3 linked regions of the Arabidopsis thaliana genome follow. The protein of the gene in region 1 purifies or fractionates together with the protein of each later gene. This does not show direct contact. Each region holds a gene or a part of one and is shown in the gene's direction. Other genes may lie near its edges.

Region 1 (7,803 bases):
TTTTGACTTGCTGTCTTTATCGCTTCTCTGTTTCAATCATTTTGATGTGAAAAACAAAAAGAAACCTTGTGGGAAATGTATCCAGACAATAACTGTAAATCTTACATTTTTGAGTTGGAGAACAATGGTTTCTCCTTCCTTTAAGCTGTAATCAACGGATGAAGTGTTCTGATAGTGTTGTTCCATTTCTTCTGCTGTTTTCTTCTTGTTCAAATACCTTTAGCAAAGAGAGAGAAAGAGAGGGTGGTCAGATTCAAACATGATTTAGTTTTTCGAAAGAACACTTAGAAATCTGGAAGTGGAATGTTACTTCATATGGTCATGTAGTGCTGCTTGGAAATCATATGCTTCTGTTCTTTCCCGGAATCCGAGTCCGATAAAAGCATGTCGAACACGACCATCTGCATTGCATCAAAGAACTAAACTCAAATAACAACTACAAGTTAACATCTCTATATCTATATGGAAAGTACGTACCTATCTTTTCTTCAACACGGAGAACAAAATATCTTCAAGACAAAACAGATTATTTTTTGTTAGACTAGCTGCACATCATGAGAAGAGCAAGTTAAGTTATGTGGTCAACTTTTTGTTACCTGCTACTGTCGATTACTGCTTCTACAGGATGAAGTTCCCCCTCTCTTAGAAATGCCTGAGCGTAAAGTTCCCCTGTGGTTTTATCTACTAGTTTTATAATGCATTCTTCTCCTTTGCTCACCACTTTCAAAGCTCCTTCCCATGCCCATTTGTTCACGTCCCACTCATCTGCTCTGCAAGGATAAAATTTATACAAAAAAAGTATCAGCTGATGTCTATCTCCATCTTCCAATGGATTACTTGATGCACTTTTTCAAGTATCTTTTACCAAAGAAGCCAAGTTGAGTTGATACAAAGCGAATGTAACTAGATAATGACCATCTTGATGCAAATTAAGGTTAAGCTACCATTCATAGTCATACATACTTCACGATTGGTTCAATAAGATTCGTTCCGAGTTTCTGATCATTTGCTAAGCCGAAGGGTTTATCGGGAAAAGGGGTTTTGTAAAAATCTCCTAACTACATATATCAGAATGACTGTTTCTATCATAAAGGTAAGAAAGAACCTGTACGAAGCTGCGGTTTTCCTTGGAGGTATCTGCATACACAAACAAAAAGACAATGAAGAGGTTACTTTGCCTAGCATCCCCGTAAAGTAACAGACACAGAAGAAAGCATAAACGATAAAATAACATTGATACATCAAGCTCCAATGTTGTCCATTACGAATGAGAATTTTATAGTTAAACCTAAATAACAACAGTTCACAATGTCTATGATTTCATCAAGGTAGCCAATTTGGAATCTCATACATCCTATAACACAATGACCATGTAACAATTTCACGAGTATCTCAAAAGCTAGTATGATTTCAGAGAGACCCCATCAAGATATCACTTAGCATGATATTGGTTAAAATTAATGTACTCTTTTATCACAAGCCTTGAATCTATCATACGAAATCTCCTTGAAAAGATTTTTCGCTGATAGTTACATGTGCAATCGATCACCATTGCAAATCCAAACAAAATTTCGAGTGATCAAGACTCAACGTCAAGTTTTCAACATATGCAAATTAAGACAACTTCCTCAATACCATTGCAAGAAATCTATAACACCAGATTGAATTTACGTTATAACTAATTATCAGATCCAAAACATCTCCTAAAATCACCAAGTGAACTTGCAAAGAAAGGATGTAACTTGAGCATAAAAGACACAAAACTCATCAAAAATTATAAAATCACATCTCATGATAAGCCAAGAAAAGTTACCAAATAAACATAGCATTCAGGCACTTGGAACAGAGCAATCTCTATAGCTTCTCTCTCCTCGTTATCATCGACATTCACAGGATCAGTGGAAGACTTCTTGTCTTCCTCCATAGTCGAAGAAGACGAAGCTTGATCCATCTCAGAAACAAAGAATTTAACTTGGAGAAAAACCCAGATGAGACTAATCGATCAAACAAACCCGTAAATCTTAAATGTTAAGTCTTTCCCGAACTGTGATTACAACAATCTCACGAGTCGCGAAGACGAAGAAACGTAGAGGTTTCGCGTTAGGTGTGTGTAGTGTATACCATTACTTCAATCTGAGCTACTTCAAAACCATCAGATCTAAGCTACCTCTGTTAAATCTGAACCGTCTATTACGTTGACTTTGAAACCCTGATATAGACTAGACACCTATGTATCCTCCACCGCTGGGAAGTCAACATTGAAGCAGTTGATGGACCAACACCAACCAATAGAAAGAACGTCCACATTTACTTTAATGGGCCTTTTAAACTAATAGGCCTAGGCCCATTATAAATACATGGATTTGTTTTATTTTATTTTTCTCATATCTGTCTCTTGGTGGTGATGAGTAGGTAAACTGTGTGCGCTTATTAACTTCTCTCACACTGACTCTGCGACCCTAATTTGTGAGCTCTCTTCTCTTTGCGCAGTCAATTTGCTACAACTTAGAAAATGGCGGCGGCTACTTCATCCATCGCTCCTTCTCTTTCATGCCCATCTCCTTCTTCTTCATCCAAAACCCTTTGGTCTTCCAAAGCCAGAACCTTGGCTCTACCCAATATCGGTTTCCTCTCGTCTTCTTCCAAGTCTCTGAGGTCGCTTACTGCCACCGTCGCTGGAAATGGCGCCACTGGATCCTCCCTTGCCGCTCGCATGGTTTCTTCGTCTGCGGTCAAAGCCCCTGTTTCTCTCGATTTTGAGACATCTGTCTTCAAAAAGGAGAAAGTTTCTCTTGCTGGTTACGAAGAGGTTTATCTCATTTACCCTCTTATTCATTTCTGTTCTAATTTGTGCTTATTCTATAATCATTTTGATGTGTATTGATTTTGTTAGTTGTTGCTAATGTTTGGTTTCTGCTGATCTTTGTTTTAGTACATTGTGAGAGGAGGAAGAGACTTGTTCAAGCATCTCCCAGATGCTTTCAAGGGGATTAAGCAGATTGGTGTGATTGGCTGGGGATCTCAGGTACTTACCTTTTTTGGTCTCTTTATCTGTAGCTACTGTGCTTCTTGTTTGATTGCTTTTTAAATTGCTTACGTTGGATTGCGAATAAGGAATCTTGGTTCTGTGTTGTGATACGAAATTGGTCAGAAAAAGGATATGAATAAAGTGTTTTCATTTTCATACTTTTGATGCATTTGAGTTGGTGGAATGAACAAGATTAATATATTGTTTCATATTCTTTTTATTCAGCATCTCTTCTCTTGTAATAAACGCTTTATCTATATATGCAGGGACCTGCCCAGGCTCAGAATTTAAGGGATTCACTTGTGGAGGCAAAGTCTGACATTGTTGTCAAGGTATTTCAACTGCAGAGTTGGCTTCATACTTGTATTTGTTTGCTTTCTGTTGTTACGTGAAGGCTCTGTTCTGACTTTGTTTTCGTTTTAATATACTATTACGTAGATTGGTCTCAGAAAAGGGTCTCGCTCATTTGAGGAGGCACGTGCTGCTGGCTTCACTGAAGAAAGTGGTACTTTGGGTGATATATGGGAAACTATCGCTGGCAGTGATCTTGTATTGCTTTTGATCTCTGATGCTGCTCAAGTAAGTGCACTTTTGTTATATATTTCCACTACTACTTGTTGAGGTATTAGTCCTAAGGTGTATACATCGATTTTATTCTATCCTGTTTTTGCAGGCTGATAACTATGAGAAAATATTCTCTCACATGAAGCCAAACAGCATTCTTGGTTTATCACACGGGTTTCTACTAGGGCATTTACAGTCCTCGGGACTCGATTTCCCAAAGAACATCAGTGTGGTCGCTGTATGCCCTAAGGGAATGGGTCCTTCTGTGAGGAGGCTTTACGTCCAAGGAAAAGAAATTAACGGTGCTGGAATCAACGCCAGTTTTGCAGTCCACCAGGTTTTCTATCTCTTTATCTCTACTGCAAAAGCTATCTTTACTGAAAAGCTCTTATACCTCATGTGTTCATTTTTTCACCACTATTTCTGCTATTCTGTTGGCAGGATGTTGACGGTAGAGCCGCCGATGTTGCATTGGGATGGTCAGTAGCACTTGGTTCTCCGTTTACTTTTGCTACTACTCTTGAACAGGAGTACAGGAGTGACATCTTTGGAGAAAGAGGTGAGTTTGATCCCCTTTTAGACCTGTCTTTATATCACTCAATCCCATACTTACATATCTTCTTCTTTTTTGTTAAAAGGAATTTTGCTTGGTGCTGTTCACGGAATCGTGGAGTCTCTGTTTAGAAGATACACCGAAAATGGGATGAGTGAAGACTTGGCTTACAAGAACACAGTAGAATGCATCACAGGAACAATTTCAAGGACTATCTCTACCCAGGTTAGTAGGAAGATATCTGTAGAGAACAGACTAATTCGTTTTTAGCCAAATATAAAAATTTAAAACCTGTTTCTAATGAATTGTGAACATCAGGGAATGTTGGCTGTGTACAACTCCTTGTCTGAAGAAGGTAAAAAAGATTTTGAGACTGCATACAGCGCATCCTTCTATCCTTGTATGGAGATTCTCTATGAATGTTACGAGGATGTACAAAGTGGCAGCGAAATCCGAAGTGTTGTCTTAGCCGGTCGTCGCTTCTATGTAATGACTCTTCCGAATCTTCCTTTTGTTACAATTACCCAAACACAGTTTGTGCAGGAGTTTTGATGGATTCTCTTACTTATAACAGGAAAAGGAAGGCTTGCCAGCATTCCCTATGGGAAATATTGACCAGACAAGAATGTGGAAGGTGGGTGAACGCGTCAGGAAGTCCAGACCTGCTGGTGACTTGGGTCCATTGTATCCCTTCACCGCTGGAGTTTATGTAGCACTTATGATGGCTCAGGTATGTCTATGTTTATATCTGGTGTGCCCACCTTTGCTTTGGATTTTTCGGTTTATGCAATGTAGAGTCGGTTTCAATTTCCGTTCAGATTTTAGAAAATATACCTCTAATTGGAATATTTTTGTCATTGCAATAGGTTTGTATAGTCTAATTGGATTCTTCTTACTTCCATTTTGTTTCAGAGAAATTGTGATATCGATCTGTTTTGTATTCAATTTTGAATTCTTTTTTGTATGGTTTTAGTTCGAATTAGCCGCATTGGACAACCCCTAGAATTTAATATGCTATCAATTTTCAGTGATTTCTTAGAATCTAAATCATCGTGGTTTCTATGTGGATTTGTGTAGATTGAGATCTTGAGGAAGAAAGGTCACTCTTACTCAGAAATCATCAACGAGAGTGTGATTGAATCCGTGGACTCTCTAAACCCATTTATGCACGCCAGGGGAGTGTCCTTCATGGTTGACAACTGCTCAACCACAGCAAGATTGGGTTCGAGGAAATGGGCGCCACGGTTTGACTACATCCTGACCCAACAAGCTCTTGTGGCTGTGGACAGTGGTGCAGCAATCAACAGAGACCTAATCAGTAACTTCTTCTCTGATCCAGTCCATGGTGCCATTGAGGTCTGCGCACAGCTCAGGCCTACCGTTGATATCTCTGTGCCTGCTGATGCAGACTTTGTTCGACCTGAGTTGCGTCAATCTAGCAACTGAGTGAAGGGTTGAAAGTTTGTCAGTCTCTTATTTGTAATCGGAGTATTAAGTCGAGAGTTTGTGATGTTTTCTTAGGCGTGACTGTTTGTTTTGTTTGAAGGATTATGTCTCTTTGCTTTGGTCTTAAAATCTACTTAAATCAATAAAATAGTTTAACGAAATTTCGCTTTAACTATTTTCGTAACAACATTTGCAAACTTTCAACTTAATTTTGTCTAGAATTGTGTATTGTCAATTTCAGTAACTGAACTGGGATTAGAGACGCTTGAGAGTTAAAGAAGGAACCAGTATCGAGAGTTTAGGATTTGATGAAGTTTATATGTCTGCGTTAATCTTGCAACATTTAGGATACTTTTAGGATATAATAGTGTGTAATGCTACTTTTGTTGGGTCAAAAATAGTATGTTGCTATGTTGAATGATTGAATATAGAATAAAGAGATAAGTTTTTTACAAATGCCAGATAGATTGAATATATGTAGTCACTCTCCAACTTCAATTATATTATTATTACAAGGAAAAATCATTTGTGTGTGTGTGTGTGTGTGTGTTTTCTTTCTTTTCAAAACTAAAGATAAAGAAGAAAAAATTGGCAGAGCATAATGCTTTTGTCTCTCTTTTTACTGAGAAATGAAGAATCTAAATTATTAGAATCACATGTAATGACATGTGCTCTCCCTCTCCCTCTGCACATTTTGCATTATATGTCAAGTCTTTTTCCCTTTCCTTGTAAAATCAAAAAAAGAAGAAAAAAAGAGAGAGAGATAAATCCACAATGCTTGAGAAAAGGAAAAGAAACAGAGAACCAAGAGAATCTGAATTAATTAATAAATAAAAATTCTGCAATCATATGATAGTGTGGCTCAAGAATTAGAGAAAGACAAGACCAACATGTGTAGCCAATCATACTGTATTGCTCTTTTCCCACATTTCATGTTCATTTATCCTAAAAACTAAAAAGAAAAGAAAACACTAAAATCTCTCTTTTAACTTCAAGAATTCTTACTGTCCAATTGATAAGGATTCATGTTTTTGGTTTAACCAAAATTACAGCTCGAGTACAAACTGCTAAGACTATACTATATTCGAATTAGGTTTATTGCTTGATTTCCACCTAGACCTTACGAACATATGTACAGTAATGGTTTGTATTAGTATGTTGTTGTGTCACCATCCAAATTTAAAACATAGACAATTTTATTTGTACCAAGTTGATTGAATATTTTTTTTGTTCTACCAATTTATTAACCCAAAATAATTTATCATCTAGTGTATTTAAAAACATCAAAAATTAGTTATTTCTGGAAGGGAAAAGACTTTAATGAGTAATAATTAGTGGAATCCCATGACGGGACTATACCCTTTCAATTTATTTACTTTAATTTTGTTATAAGACAAAATCTCGGTGTTTGGTTTTTGTTAAAAGACAAAATCTTGGTGTTTAGTGTGAAATCATATATGATCTTGATTTGACACCAATGCTTTGTAATTATTTCTGTTAATACCAATTCAACCATGATTTCGATTTAGCCATAGAGTAAGAGTATGACTCATCATTATCATCATCATCATATATAAATAAACCTATATATTTTAATTTTTTCATCCAGAAAATTATTTAGAAGAAAACAAACGTGAGATGTACTCAAGTGGTCTTTCCGATTTTGTTTAATAATCTCAAAATTCATTTATTATTTACTTAACTATCTGCCACTGTTTAGCCTGTACATTATTATCTCTCTCTATATATATATATATATATCAAATAAGTTTGCACTAAGTCTTCTAAAAACCAATATATAGACTGGCATGTGAGATGTTAAATAAACATCACATAAATCGTGCATACTATATATTCGAAAAGCTCTTCAACTTTTTCCTCGGTCATGATTATAAGAAACCAAAAAAATAACCATTTTTAAAGAAACTCCTTATTTAATCTGTTAATTGATCATGATGGCGATGAACGATGATGCAGATAAAGAAGATAATTCACAGCTTGTGAGCATATGCTCATCACATGCTCGAGCATATAGCCTCAGGTGGCAACCAATTAGGATCATTGCAATAATGTTGTTAGTTTGATTAATTGTTTTGGTTACTTATATAACTGTATAATTTGGGGGTTATAATATAAACCCAACAATATCAATAGTACTACTTGTTATTGATTAGTTTTAACATGCATCGAATAATGATTTGAACATTCACAT
Region 2 (6,653 bases), on another chromosome or scaffold:
GGATTCGCTGGAGAAAGCTAGAGACTGTGGTGATGAAGATACCGGAGAAGTCGACGACGGCGACGGGCTTTTATCGGCGCTGAAGTCGCTTTGTTTGAAGATGGACGCAAGAGGATTTTGGGGGTTTGTGATTGCGAGGAAGAAGGAATTGGAGAATCTCCGGTCACAGATTCCTGTGGCGTTGGTAGATTGTGTGGATCCGCCGAAGTTAGTACTTGAAGCTGTATCTGAGGTTTTTCCGGTGGATAAAAGAGGTGGTGGAGAGAAAGTGAGCAATGATTTTGGATGGGCTTGTGTTGTGATTCTGGAGAGTTTGATTCCAGTTATGGTTGATCCAGTGATGGGGAAGTCTCGGCTACTTGTAACTCCTAGCGTTAAGGAGAAAGCTAAAGAGATTGCTGAGACGTGGAAGGCTAGCTTGGAAGAGAGAGGAGGGATTGAGAATGTGAAAACACCTGATGTTCATACGTTTCTGCAACATCTTGTGACTTTTGGGATTGTGAAGAAGGATGATCTAGCTCTTTATAGGAAACTTGTGGTTGGTTCAGCTTGGCGTAAACAGATGCCAAAGCTTGCTGTTTCAGTTGGTTTGGGCGACCAAATGCCTGGTAATCTTTCTTCTTTACCTTTGATTACCATTAGATGTTTTTAGCTATATATTGGGGAAGCACAAGTTGTTGTCTTTTGTCATGGGAATCTGTGAGTAGTATCTGAAATGGAAAATGATGGTTTTTGGGTTGTTATGGCTTCACACAGATATGATTGAAGAGTTGATAATCAGGGGACAACAGCTTGATGCGGTTCATTTCACTTTTGAAGTTGGTCTTGTACACTTGTTCCCTCCTGTTCCTTTGCTCAAAGCTTATCTGAGGGATGCAAAGAAAGCTACAGCTTTAATCACTGATGATTCCAACAATTCTGGCCGATCTGCGGTACTTTCCTCCATTTGTGTTACTCGTTTTCTTTGCTGGATCCATTTGCAGGGATCTGTTTCTTCTGCACTCGCTTACCAATGTATGTGTGTATTTTTCTAGCATCTTGTGGCGCGCAAAGAGCAATCAGCACTTAGAGCAGTCTTAAAATGCATAGAAGAATACAAACTCGAGGAAGAATTCCCACCCGAGAATCTCAAGAAGAGGTTGGATCAGCTAGAGAAGACCAAAACCGAGAAGAGAAAACCAGCCGTGATTCCCGCCAACAAGAGAACCCGAGCAAGCTACAGCGGTCCAATGCCACCAGCCAAAGCAGGGCGTATCACAAACGCTTACGTCTCCTCTTTCCCACCGCCTCCACCAACATTCATCAGATCCCAAAGTCACTCACCTCAATACGGTGTACCAGCATACACCACATCCCCACCTACCATCTACAGCAACAGGAGCCCTCCATACCAATACTCACCCGAGGCGGTTCATGGTTCTTACCAAACCTCTCCGGTCAGTTATCCGACAGCATATGGTACCTACTGCAGTCCGGTGGCTGCTCCACCCCCTCCAGTTTACCATCCTCACCCGCACCACCACCACCATATTCAGCATGCTTACTACTGATTAGACAATGACAAAGGAAAAAAGAAGATGGTAAGTAACCAACCACTGATCTCTGGTGTCTACGTTTTGTCTCTACCTCGTTTTTGTTGTAATCTCTCTTTTTTTATATCGTATCATTTGTAGCTAACACTCTCACTCTTTCTGGTTCTGAATTAGTCTACCCTTGTGTGTTTATTAATCTAAATTATACATATCTATTCACTTTCCTAATGTTTCAATCAACGAATTTAGTTCAGTACTTAATAGATTCATCTTAAACCAGGAATGTTTCACTGTGATTATGTTATGTATCACTGTTTGTATTGGCTCATTGAAATCAAGATTTCGAAGTCTCATAGCAAGATTCGTTACAAAGTGTTCGTATTACACCAAAAAAAAGACTTCTTTAGTCTAAATCAAGAAGATGATTAGTCGTTGGCAGTGGCGAGCTGGAGAGACAAGAGTTCTTCCTCAGGGATCATCTTAATGTGACAATCAGAAGTTGGATACGAAGCACATAGAAGCGTGTAGCCACGTTCAACCACATCATCACTTAGCATCCCACCACTTTGATCCACCGTTCCGGTCACGAGTTTCGCTGGACAAGTCATACAAACACCGAGATTGCAGTCGTAGGGAACGTCAAGGCCAGAGTCAAGAGCCTTAGATAGAATCGTCTCGTCTGGTTCGACTTCCAATTCAGTCGTCTTTCCGTCGTGCTCTACCACCACTTTATATGCCCGAGCTATGATCCTTCCGGTGGTGAGAAAGTTCCGGCGGTTTGTTGTTGTTGAGAGTGTTGCGTTACGGAGTGGGAAGGAGAAGGAATTGGAGAGATAAGGTTTAGGGAGAGAGATTGTAGAAGTTTGAGTCGGGAGAGGAAGAGTCGCCATGAGAGACAGAGAGACGGAGACAAAAGAGTTTTTGTGTCAAGTGAGAGTGATGACTGTTTGTGGTGAATACGGAGATAAGGTTGATCATCGGTTGTAGATAGTGGTGGGACATAAAAACCGAAAACCGACTTAAACCGAAATTCATTAATGCATTAAACCGAATTAACCAAGATCTAATAAAATGAATTTTAAAATTTTAATTATATTCGTAATTAAGGGAAATATTTTTTCCAAAACAGTTTGAACAAATAAATTCAGTATTATTTTTCCATACTCAAAACTCCAAATCGGACTAACTGAAAAAAAGAAACCGAATGTTCAAACCCCAGTTATGGAAAATATTAACCGGACTTAATACGGATATGACCAAATCAGACCGAGAAGTAGTAATTCTGGTGACCAACCACCGCGTTTTTCTAAATTGATAGCGTGTGCCATGTGACTGACACCAAAGAGATCATATATCTCATCATTCGAAGATTTTATTCCATACAACCGATTTTCTCCATTTTCTTCAAAACGATTCGGGTCAAGGTTATTGACTTTCTCATTCAGGTATCATCTTCTTCCTCGTCCCATACTTTTTGATTCACTTGCTTATTCCTCTGCCGGTTTCGATTATATTTGTTTGGATCGGATAATTGTATGGGCTTAAGCTTATTTCGCTGTTAAATCTGTTGATTTGGTGTTAAGAGTGTTGTATAACTGGATTGGTGCTCATACATCTGGAGATTTATGTTTGATGATTTTGTATGATGTGTTTTTGGTTTGAGGATGATTTATTCCTTTGGTCTTACTTTTCTCTTTTTGTGAATTTAAGCAGTGAAGCTTGAATCATGGCCTCGAGAATTGCTAAAGATGTGACTGAAGTAAGGCTTTCAAGTTCTTTCACTGTTCATTTCACGAAGGAGTGAGCTTTGTTCCATGTTCATGTATTGATTGATTCTATTTGGCAGTTGATTGGGAACACTCCATTGGTGTATTTGAACAATGTTGCTGAAGGATGTGTTGGTCGTGTTGCTGCTAAGCTTGAGATGATGGAACCGTGCTCTAGCGTCAAAGACAGGTTTCTTCTCTAGTCCAGAAACTATGTGTTGTTTCTCGCTTCGAGTTTCGGTTTTGTGAAGACCTTGTACTTTGTTTATTTCTGCAGGATTGGTTTTAGCATGATTTCTGATGCAGAAAAGAAGGGTCTTATCAAACCAGGAGAGGTCAGTTTCGATTATCTGAATCTTCAAACCACTATTTTGTTTTTGTTTTCATTGTTTCTGACTTTTTGTTTGTTCTTTAGAGTGTGCTGATTGAGCCAACAAGTGGAAACACTGGAGTTGGGTTAGCATTCACGGCAGCTGCCAAAGGCTACAAGCTTATTATTACAATGCCAGCTTCTATGAGTACTGAGAGAAGAATCATTCTCTTAGCTTTTGGAGTTGAGTTGGTTTTAACTGACCCAGCTAAGGGCATGAAAGGAGCTATCGCAAAGGCGGAAGAGATTTTGGCGAAAACACCCAATGGTTACATGCTTCAGCAGTTTGAGAACCCTGCCAACCCTAAGGTATGCTTATTATTTACTATTGCTTTAGTGTATCTGTTTTTGTCTGTTTTTGAACCATATTAAGTCGATGGAATTTCACTGTCAAATGCAGATCCACTATGAGACTACGGGACCTGAGATATGGAAAGGCACTGGTGGCAAAATCGATGGCTTTGTTTCTGGGATTGGTACTGGTGGTACCATTACAGGTGCTGGGAAGTATCTTAAAGAACAGAACGCAAACGTCAAGGTGAGAGCTCCATCTTTTCGAACAACTGGCTTTGTTATCTAAGTGACTAAGTGGTGTGTCTTTGCACGGTTTCTCATTTTGTTTCCTCTTCTGTTAGCTGTATGGAGTGGAGCCAGTTGAAAGTGCTATTCTATCCGGTGGGAAGCCAGGTGATTTTGGTTCCCCCTGCGTTTATTACGATAACCATGCATGCATGTTCCTCGTTTCTCGGTTTGCCTCATGTCTTATTTTTTATCCTCGGAGTTTCCTAACACATGATGTTTGCTGAAAATATCAAGGTCCTCACAAGATTCAAGGGATAGGAGCTGGTTTTATACCAAGTGTATTGAATGTTGATCTTATTGACGAAGTTGTTCAGGTAAGACTGCTTTTCGATATTATCGACTGATAGCAAAACACAATTGAATGCAAGAGAGCTTCATTTCTTACTTGACTCTCTCCATTTTCCTGTAACGCTTTCAACAGGTTTCAAGTGATGAATCCATTGACATGGCAAGGCAGCTTGCTCTTAAAGAAGGTCTTCTTGTAAGTGTTTCACATTTCACAACAAAAAGCTATCTCCATCAGAATTACAACTTCGTTCTGTTTCTAAAAACAAAAGCTATACTGTAGGTGGGAATATCATCCGGTGCAGCAGCTGCTGCAGCAATTAAACTTGCACAGAGGCCAGAAAACGCTGGGAAGCTATTTGTGGTAAGCTCTTTGATTCTATCATCACCCCAAAGCCAATAAGCTCTGATTACATAACCCGGATTTCTTTCTGATTCTGATGTAAACGAAATCAACTGAATTATTTTACAGGCGATATTCCCGAGTTTCGGGGAGAGGTATCTATCAACGGTACTTTTCGATGCGACAAGGAAAGAAGCGGAAGCCATGACCTTCGAGGCTTGAACATTCTCCATTTCTTCTTAAGAGACGCCAAAATAAAAGAGATGTTCAGTTTCTCCTATAGAGACTCTTCATCTTTAGTTACATTGCGTCTTTGCTTCCATCTGTATCTTCTCTTGTGTGCCAATAAAAGTCAAACTAGATTTTCTCTGTTTCTTTTGTGAACCACTTGCTTGTTAATGAAGTTTAAATTTGCTATGTAACTTTGTTCATAAGTATCATACTGTTTCATGATCAAAACTAAACCAACATAACCCAAGTCAATATTTCAGGCTAAATATAAGATTAGGATAAGAAGAAGGTAATGCTCAAAAGGAGTGATTCCGATAATTCTCTTTATCATCATCTACACAAATCAACAATGTTTCGATTTCTCATTGCAATCACTAAAAATTGTACACACAAATTTTACCATTTTCAATTCACAGGATCAGCTGAAGAAGTCTTGAACACCTCTTCCGATGAACACTCGATCAGAGAGTTCAGCCAAAAGGAAATTGACAGTGAGCAAGACGACGCTAGAGCCAGCGATAACACCGAGCACGACGCCGGTAGTTCCGAGAACTTTCTGAAACGCCGGCCACTCAATCTCCTTCACTTCCTCCGCAACTCCACTAAGAAACTCGTTCTTCCCTTTCTCTTCCTCCGCCGTTTTCCTCTGCTCCATCGCTGCTTTTATCTCTGCTCCTATCGCGCTAATCTCCACTTCCTTATCTTCTCCGCTTCCACTCTCTTCCGCCGGTGACGGAGTCGCTTCTGATTCCGATTCAGATCCAGCTGTATCTCGTCTCTGTTCTATAGCCTTAGCCACAAAACACGCCGATTTCCTCAGATTACTCGTCGTCATAGTTCTTATCTCAGTGTAAACCGGAAATACACGGAGATTAGACAGTGACGGTTTTGTATCCCGGAGACTCCTGGTTATTCCGGTGACCGGCGGCGAGAATTGTGCGGTTAGTGACATTTTTCGAAATTGGGAACTTTTTTAAGTTTTCTCAATTTTAGATTTGTGGATAATTCAGATATCTGAAGACTGAAGTAAATGATCAGATACAGCAATGAGTATAGTAAGAGTTGCTACAATTATTATGGGCCTTATAAAGCCCAAATATTTATTTGAAAAAATTTAAATTTAGGATAAAAAATGCTCTGGCGACGGCGACGGAGAAAGTAACCAGAGGAGCGTATCGGCGAAAGCAGAGACGATGAATCTGTGAGTATGTTTCGGATTCAAATAGAGATAACAGAATAACAGTTCGTGCAAGTATTCTCTATCGGCGACGACGTCTCTCGTTAAATCTCTAGCTTCCACCATCTCTCTCATCGATCTTCCGAAATCTCTGTACGGATCCGGTGACTCTATGTGCTTCATTATCGCCGTCCCGCCGCTTAAAAGCTTCGAAACGGAGGTGGTGGTTTCGTCTTCTTCTTCTTCTTCGCGGCGGTTAGTGGAGAACACCCCGGCGGGGTTCTCGGAACTGTGACGGCGGTGGAGGGGAGAAGAAACAGAGAGCTGATCGTAAAGAGAGTTGAAGTTGTTGATGAAGATTGAGGGA
Region 3 (7,921 bases), about 13 Mb from region 1:
ACCTAATTTCAGAAGCTATTAAACAATGTTTTCACCAAAAGAACGACTAAAATTAGGGAGACAGAGCACTAAGTAATAATTAGGGATTCTTGTAATAAAAGGAAAATATGAGATATACTTAACAAATAATTAAGGACAGATAGAGGAGCCGGATTAATAGGGAAGTTCACGTGAAGGCACAGCTTAAACCAGCTGAGCCAAACACATATACTAAATTCTCATTCTCACAAACAAAAATCGTGGGTCCAATCTTGATTATGTGGCTGTAAAACCTAAAAACATAAACTATTCACATGAATAAGATTTTGATTAGACAACAGTCTTACTTTTGTCTCTTCCTCTATAAGATTAATCTGACCCTTGAGCCACTCAAAAACAGGTATGTCTATATTCATTTCCTAATGTGACATCTACACACATATTATCTCTTTTTTTTTTAATCATGTGACTGTAGAAACTGATTAGTAAATAGTAATAGGAAAACAAAATACTTAGTATAGAGTTATATAGAGTATAGAGAGAGGGATGGGTCCAAATAGTTGATGATGGACCATGTGAAAAAAACAATGAAAGCCCACACCATTAATTGTGGTAAAGGATGAGAATCTAGTGTTGTAGTTTTCCATGTCCTTAAACGGTTAAACCTATCTTCTAACAAAATTCTCCACCTTCCCTTCTGACATCTCCCATCACTTCTCTCTTAATTTATTCCATCCATTCCACCAAATTTTTAGTTTCACTTTTTTTACTGTAGTGTGTTTACACTTGTGAGTGAGTGAAAAAGTAAAGCTAGAGAGGTTACTGTTTTGAGATGCTCTTTTTAGAAAGGGCCATATATAAATGGTAGTGTAGTAGTACTAGTGGAGCTTCTTCATATACAATTTTGACTTCTCTTCATTGAATGTAGGAGAGAGGCTCTTTACATCATAAATAAAACAAGAACACAGCTTTCAGAGAGATAGAGTGAGATTCTCCTTCATTAACATATTCTTCTTCATGTTATAAGAAGAAGAAGAAGAAGTGTCCAAAAGGATTAGAGATGGGTGGATGCACAAGCAAGCAAGAGAGGAGAGGTGTGAGAAGTGTGAAGGAGACATCAAAAGACCAAAGCAGAGGAAGAAGACACCTGATAAAAGAGAGAGATGAGAGAGAGAAAGTGATGTTTCTTCAGCTTAAAGAGGCGGAGAGAGAGTGGAGAAAAGAGAGGAAGAAGCTGAGAGAGGAAGTGAGAAGACTAAGGAAGAAGCTAGAGGAAAGAGAAGAAGCAAAGACAACAACAACAGAGGAAAGAGAGTATTGGAAGTGGGTGGTTGAGGAGATGTGTGTAGAGAGAGCAGTGAGAGATGAAGCCGTTGAGAAATGGAAACAACTCTATTTAGCTATCAAGAATGAGCTTGATCATCTCATCTCCCACACTACTTCTTCCTCCGGTAAAATAAACTCAACTTATTTCAACTTAAAATTAGAAAAAGTAAATAGGATCTTTAAAGTGTGTGTTTGTAGGAGAAGCAATCATGCAAAGGAAACTTGAGGAACAAGAAGAAGAAGAAACAGAAGCAAAGAGAGTTGAAGTATTGAGAGATGAAGTTAGAGTTAAAGAAGAGACAGTTGAGACACTTGAAGAGCAAATAGTTTTGATGGATAGACAAAAGTATGAGAAAGAAAGAGAGATTGACTTATTGAGACAGAGTCTAAGGATTCTTGGAAGCAAGAAGAAAAAGAAGACAGGATCATTCGCATCAATGAATCTGTTGATATTGAAGACCAAATGTGTCGAATGTACATAAACACTTTTTACTCAAATAGTCTTCTGCAAACAGTCATATCTCGTCAGAGAATCTTGATCCACAATGTCATATTTATTTCTCTTTTGGTTATTTTACAATTTTTATTTTGGAAATATAGTAAATCATAGCACTATGAGTTCAAAAAGCACATGTCCCATGAAAGATTTGCACAAATCGTTTTTTTTTTTTTTTGTTGGAGTTAGATACAATTCTTTAGCAATAATGATAATGAACCATTTTTCCAAAGAACAGAAACTGTGGAAAAAAACTTACTAGACACTAAAAGTCTAAAACACCACTTGCTTTTTTATAGCCCAAGAAACTTCTAGTTCTAATTAAGAATGTCCAACTTCCGGTTCGGTTACTGAAAATTATCAAATTTTTGTTAGATGAGATAAAGAAGTGAATCCTACAAGAAATATATCATGTGGTTCGGTTTGGTACAATTTTGATTTCTGCTAGGGTTTTATCCTTTTTAGCAAAATTTACTTTAATTTCCGTAGTAAAAAAGAAGAAGTTTTAGTTGGTTTATTTCTTATTTTTGCTTCGATTACGGCATTTAATTTTAGCAATATTTCATTAACAAAAAAAAACAATTCTAATTGGTTTATTTCTACTTCTTTTTCTGTCTTGGTTTGATCTCTATTACTATATTGATTATGAAAAAAATATGAAACCAAAACCATTTATTATGTCTTCAATTCCATTTTTAACCCAATTATTTCACTACAATTGTAATAACCGGTTATTGCACCCCTAATTATAACTATTTAAGCAATCGCATATACCAAACCAGCGAGTTAAACCAAATTGTTTCCCAAATTATGCTAAACGACAGCGTTTTCACAAATTACCAAAAAAACCTATTTTTCTGTATCTATCTGAATTCAGAGTCCTGACCATTTTATCTCACTCTCACAAAGTCTTCACTTTTGAAGTGTCTCCTCCACACGCACTGCGCCGCCAAAAAACCCTTCTTTAAACCCTTTCCTCCTCGCGCCGTCATGCAAGCCACCATCTTCTCTCCACGCGCCACTCTCTTCCCCTGTAAACCTCTCCTCCCTTCCCACAATGTCAACTCTCGCCGTCCCTCAATCATCTCCTGCTCCGCCCAATCCGTAACCGCTGATCCTTCACCACCTATCACTGACACCAATAAGCTCAACAAATACAGCTCAAGAATCACTGAACCCAAATCCCAAGGTGGGTCTCAAGCAATTCTTCACGGTGTTGGTTTATCAGACGACGATTTGCTAAAACCCCAGATTGGTATCTCGTCGGTTTGGTATGAAGGGAACACTTGTAACATGCATTTGCTGAAATTGTCTGAGGCTGTGAAAGAAGGAGTTGAAAATGCAGGAATGGTTGGGTTTAGGTTTAATACTATTGGTGTGAGTGATGCTATTTCGATGGGAACGAGAGGGATGTGTTTTAGTTTGCAATCTAGGGATTTGATTGCTGATAGTATTGAGACTGTTATGAGTGCTCAGTGGTATGATGGTAACATATCTATTCCCGGTTGTGATAAAAATGTGAGTTTTTTTTTTTTAATCATCGATCTTTGTGTTGTCTTTATCTCCATGTTTTATGTGATTTGTTTGCTATAATGTTATTGTTGTAATACTTTTAGATGCCTGGAACTATTATGGCTATGGGAAGGCTTAACAGACCAGGGATTATGGTTTATGGTGGAACCATTAAGGTACTTACTTTTATCAAATTGATGAGAAGATAGTTTCTTAAACCCTAAACCCTTGTGCCTAGTTGGATAGCCTATTCACCTTGCTTTGATATTATTGCAGCCTGGCCATTTTCAAGACAAGACATATGACATTGTATCTGCTTTCCAGGTATCTTTTCTTCTATCTGCTACGAGCTTGGTTATAACAATTTTAATGTGTATTTATGAGACTTCATTGAGTTTTCCAATTTTGGGATTGAGTTACAGAAATCTTGGTGACTTTGGTGTCAAATTGTACCAGTACTTGTGGGATTCATCATGTTTTCCAATTTTGTATTTCAGAGTTATGGAGAATTTGTTAGTGGCTCCATAAGTGATGAACAGAGAAAGACTGTCCTCCATCATTCATGTCCTGGAGCTGGAGCCTGTGGTGGCATGTACACAGCGAATACAATGGCTTCTGCTATCGAAGCAATGGGAATGTCCCTTCCTTACAGGTGAGGCTTTCAGTCCTGAAGACCACATTTATAAATCAACTTCAAACGTTTTCCCAGATTTGTGCTTAATAGAAAGTTATTTCCACAAGAACATTGTAGATCCTAAACTGTAATTGTGGAATGCTTATTTCAAAAGTTCATATATTTGCTTCTTCTTTTTTTTTTGAAGTTCTTCAATACCTGCTGAAGACCCATTGAAGTTGGACGAGTGTCGCTTAGCAGGAAAATATCTTCTAGAATTGCTAAAGATGGACTTAAAACCCCGTGACATTATCACTCCAAAATCACTTCGTAATGCAATGGTTTCCGTCATGGCCCTTGGGGGATCGACAAATGCAGTATTGCATCTAATTGCTATTGCAAGGTGACAGATTGTTATGATGTTTCTTATTATTACCATGGAAAGCAATGGACCGAAGTAATGAATGGAAATGATTTCAGGTCTGTTGGTTTGGAGTTGACTCTTGACGATTTTCAGAAAGTTAGCGATGCGGTTCCATTTCTAGCAGATCTTAAACCCAGTGGGAAGTATGTTATGGAGGATATACATAAGGTAAGGCTTTGGCGAAATCGTTTTGCTTATTACTTATCTGTTTTTTTATTGGTCAGTTTGTAAGTTTTGTTGTTTAATCTACAGATAGGTGGTACGCCAGCTGTTCTCCGCTATTTATTAGAGCTAGGATTGATGGATGGTGATTGTATGACAGGTAGAAATGCTCAAACATTTTATAAACTGACTTAGCAATTTGGATTGATGTGAAATGGCATAACTACGCTTTTGTATCTCTACCAGTGACAGGGCAGACTTTGGCTCAAAATTTAGAAAACGTCCCAAGCTTAACAGAAGGGCAGGTATTTGTAATGTTATTAGTTATCTCATTAGATTCTACCGCCTGTTTCTTCTTGATTATGATGGTTGTTAGTTATACAGGATTCTAATTAATTCTGATAATGTTCCAGGAGATAATTAGACCTCTGTCAAATCCAATCAAGGAGACTGGACACATACAAATTTTGAGAGGAGACCTTGCACCAGATGGTTCTGTAGCAAAAATTACCGGCAAAGAGGGCTTATATTTCTCTGGTAATGTTGGTTCACTCTAGTACCTCCTTTACACTCCATATTTAGCTAATGCTTCTGAATATTAGGGCTTATATGATGGAACTATTTATTTTAGGTCCTGCACTTGTATTTGAAGGAGAGGAATCTATGTTGGCTGCTATATCAGCAGACCCAATGAGTTTTAAGGTAATTTCCTTTCTGATATGAAGTTCATCTCAGGAGCTGGTTATATATCTTTTATCTGATGAAATGTATCGTGTTTCAGGGAACTGTGGTTGTTATCAGAGGAGAGGGGCCTAAAGGAGGTCCAGGTATGCCTGAGATGTTGACACCGACAAGTGCAATAATGGGTGCCGGTCTTGGAAAGGTATGATATGACCAGTATGACTGGGTTAGTGAGACATTTATTAAGTCTGATCAATTTTTATGTTCTAAATTAAAGAACTCGTTATTTTTCCTTTGATATGGTCTGACTATATTATGCTTATGGTAGTGACCTAAATCTTTTTATCTACTTTGTCCATATCCGAGAACACACCTTATATAAAGTGCCAATATGTTGCTATTGGGTGATGCAGGAATGTGCATTACTGACTGATGGTAGGTTCTCTGGTGGGTCACACGGTTTTGTTGTTGGCCACATTTGCCCTGAAGCTCAGGTCTCTCTCTCTCCCTTTTTTTTTTCTCTCTGCCCACTGGCTCCATCAGAGCAAAATTCTAAATTTTGCACTTGCAAGATAAATTTGATAGATCCATGTCCCTCTTCTGGGATATTTTTCTTGTGTATTGAAAAATAAATGCTACTGGGTCATAGTCATATATAGTTTTAGCAAAAAGGAACAAGGGTCAAGGGATCCTGTAATAGTTTGTGGTGGCTCTTATGCAGTTATGATGATTTTGGAATATTTCAAATAATAAAACTGATATTAATGTGATTGGAGAATGTGAAGATAATAATGCTGAAAGCAATTCTCCGGTGTGCTTACTATTTATCTGTGCAGGAGGGTGGTCCGATCGGTCTGATCAAGAACGGAGACATAATCACCATTGACATAGGAAAGAAGAGAATAGACACACAAGTCTCACCCGAAGAAATGAATGACCGTAGAAAGAAATGGACTGCTCCTGCATACAAGGTTAACCGCGGAGTCCTATATAAGGTACTATACGAATCCACTTGTATCTATATAATGTATGTCTCTTTGACATCTGATGGATTAGTTTCTAATGAATGGTTTATGATATTCTAAAAACAGTACATCAAGAACGTGCAATCGGCTTCAGATGGATGTGTGACTGACGAGTAAAGTGAACGATCTAAGAGAGAGTTTTGTGAATGAGCAGCAGAATGTAGTGTACGTTCATGAGGGAATTTGTAAGTTTATTTATTGTAGCTTCTAGATCATGTTACTTTGTGACTGATCATTAGCTATTTGCAGGGTTCGTTTTTAAGATTTTGTTTCTCTTAAATGTCAAAATAAAAACTTGTGATTGTGGCCGAATTCCAAAGAATATAAAGACAGAATAAAGACGGATTTGCATAAATACTTGTCTATGAGATTGAACTTAAGAGCCAATGTGGCAAACCAGCTATGCGTGAATAAGCTTGACGTTCTCTACATGGTTTAGAAAGATGTGAAATCCACTAACCTTAAAGGCTTGGGTTCCTTGGATTTCAAGTCTTTTCATCGTCTTTCTCTCGTTTCTGTAGGAGACAACATAAGGGTCATAAGAATAGTAAAACTCGAGCATGGTAATTAATATTTGATTCGACCAATTTATATCAAGGTGCAAGTATTTGTCTCAAAGGCTCGAGCATGACATCTCACAGAATTGTAAAATCATTCACATTTGAAATTTGATATCAAACTTAAAACAGAATCAATATAAACTAATTAGAAGGCTGTGGACGAGGGAGACGGGACAACCAACGAGGGAGAACATACTGTGAAGCGAGGAGAAGGTTAGGACCACCTTGAAACGATGGGGAAAAGTATCTATGAACGGTCTCCATATACTCGTTGCACCAGTTAAAGCTCAAGGTGCAACCATCCATACACTTCCTCTCGTCTTCGGATTCCTTGTGAAGACTAAACACATGCGTCCTCAAGTTAAACAAGACCATACCTTTCTTGTTTCTGCTCCACAAGTAGATGATCTCAGACTTCAAAGGATGCATCACCACCGGGAAGTAATCGATACCTAGCTTGGTCACAGACGCCAAGCTGGCTTCCCAAAAGAGCTGCCACGCCTCAGGACCATCAGTGTACTTGACCAGCCTCCAAACCCGTACTTTGCGGTTTGCGTTCCCACCAAACTCGTTGAAATACACAATAGACCCTTCCGAGGTAGTGATTGTTCTCCGAAAACGCGGTAACTCGTAATCTTTTCCATTATCGGGGAAATAAATGATACTACACGCATCATGATGACCTCCATAGAAATCGTAAGCTAAAAAAGAACCGGTGAGGTTGGAAAGCCAATGAAGAATCCCATTTAAAGCAATGGACTTGTGATGACTAAACCAATAGGCAGAATGAAGACAAGTCACATTTTTAATTTCCCATTCCCCTGTGTTAGATGAGTAAATCGCAAAATCGACTTGAGCAAAAGTGTGAGCGATCAACCACACAACCTTGTAACTCACAACAATACCACTTTGCATCTTTGTAACCAATCCACTGTCGCTGAAACGCTCGTGGTTCCTTAATTTCTCAACATTTTGAGAAGTGTATTTAGGACGGAGAGGGATTCGAAACCACTCTTGAAACAAAGGATTACCAACGTAATACATAGGAGTTCCAACGCAAGATTCTACGTAAAGAAGGACCAACCCATCGGTACAAGCTAAGACTTGTAGTTTCCTGATTGTGGTCTCGGCAAAGAAACTCAC

The links. Proteins that work in one complex are often made in the same cells at the same time.
Region 2: the proteins of AT3G58610 (region 1) and OASA1 fractionate together in Arabidopsis thaliana (co-fractionation; one large-scale study listed by BioGRID). This does not show direct contact.
Region 3: the proteins of AT3G58610 (region 1) and AT3G23940 fractionate together in Arabidopsis thaliana (co-fractionation; one large-scale study listed by BioGRID). This does not show direct contact.

What each region holds. Positions count from the first base shown.
Region 1 is NC_003074.8:21,669,049-21,676,851, forward strand, and holds AT3G58610 (ketol-acid reductoisomerase), read left to right. Parts: upstream 1-2,384; 5' UTR 2,385-2,512; coding exon 2,513-2,809; intron 2,810-2,932; coding exon 2,933-3,025; intron 3,026-3,294; coding exon 3,295-3,360; intron 3,361-3,466; coding exon 3,467-3,607; intron 3,608-3,701; coding exon 3,702-3,929; intron 3,930-4,033; coding exon 4,034-4,151; intron 4,152-4,230; coding exon 4,231-4,370; intron 4,371-4,463; coding exon 4,464-4,631; intron 4,632-4,719; coding exon 4,720-4,875; intron 4,876-5,222; coding exon 5,223-5,591; 3' UTR 5,592-5,683; exon of another isoform or gene 5,684-5,837; intron 5,838-5,905; 3' UTR 5,906-6,042; downstream 6,043-7,803. Other genes in the region: AT3G58600 (Adaptin ear-binding coat-associated protein 1 NECAP-1), read right to left, coding at 1-27, 106-217, 311-401, 478-509, 597-770, 1,106-1,137, 1,814-1,951.
Region 2 is NC_003075.7:8,516,656-8,523,308, reverse strand, and holds OASA1 (O-acetylserine (thiol) lyase (OAS-TL)), read left to right. Parts: upstream 1-2,712; 5' UTR 2,713-2,977; exon of another isoform or gene 2,978-3,172; intron 3,173-3,242; exon of another isoform or gene 3,243-3,245; 5' UTR 3,246-3,258; coding exon 3,259-3,291; intron 3,292-3,378; coding exon 3,379-3,488; intron 3,489-3,575; coding exon 3,576-3,633; intron 3,634-3,713; coding exon 3,714-3,977; intron 3,978-4,068; coding exon 4,069-4,206; intron 4,207-4,303; coding exon 4,304-4,355; intron 4,356-4,484; coding exon 4,485-4,564; intron 4,565-4,671; coding exon 4,672-4,731; intron 4,732-4,818; coding exon 4,819-4,899; intron 4,900-5,007; coding exon 5,008-5,100; 3' UTR 5,101-5,349; downstream 5,350-6,653. Other genes in the region: AT4G14900 (FRIGIDA-like protein), read left to right, coding at 1-608, 757-932, 1,035-1,550; FdC1 (2Fe-2S ferredoxin-like superfamily protein), read right to left, coding at 1,958-2,422; SECE1 (secE/sec61-gamma protein transport protein), read right to left, coding at 5,528-6,061; OFP11 (ovate family protein 11), read right to left, coding at 6,230-6,653. UniProt on the Arabidopsis thaliana protein: Acts as a major cysteine synthase, probably involved in maintaining organic sulfur level.
Region 3 is NC_003074.8:8,645,989-8,653,909, forward strand, and holds AT3G23940 (dehydratase family), read left to right. Parts: upstream 1-2,680; 5' UTR 2,681-2,791; coding exon 2,792-3,319; intron 3,320-3,417; coding exon 3,418-3,489; intron 3,490-3,589; coding exon 3,590-3,637; intron 3,638-3,810; coding exon 3,811-3,965; intron 3,966-4,134; coding exon 4,135-4,329; intron 4,330-4,406; coding exon 4,407-4,518; intron 4,519-4,602; coding exon 4,603-4,672; intron 4,673-4,758; coding exon 4,759-4,817; intron 4,818-4,925; coding exon 4,926-5,049; intron 5,050-5,143; coding exon 5,144-5,214; intron 5,215-5,293; coding exon 5,294-5,395; intron 5,396-5,606; coding exon 5,607-5,687; intron 5,688-6,029; coding exon 6,030-6,188; intron 6,189-6,284; coding exon 6,285-6,335; 3' UTR 6,336-6,617; downstream 6,618-7,921. Other genes in the region: AT3G23930 (troponin T, skeletal protein), read left to right, coding at 1,040-1,430, 1,504-1,787; AT3G23950 (F-box family protein), read right to left, coding at 6,920-7,921. UniProt on the Arabidopsis thaliana protein: Functions in the biosynthesis of branched-chain amino acids.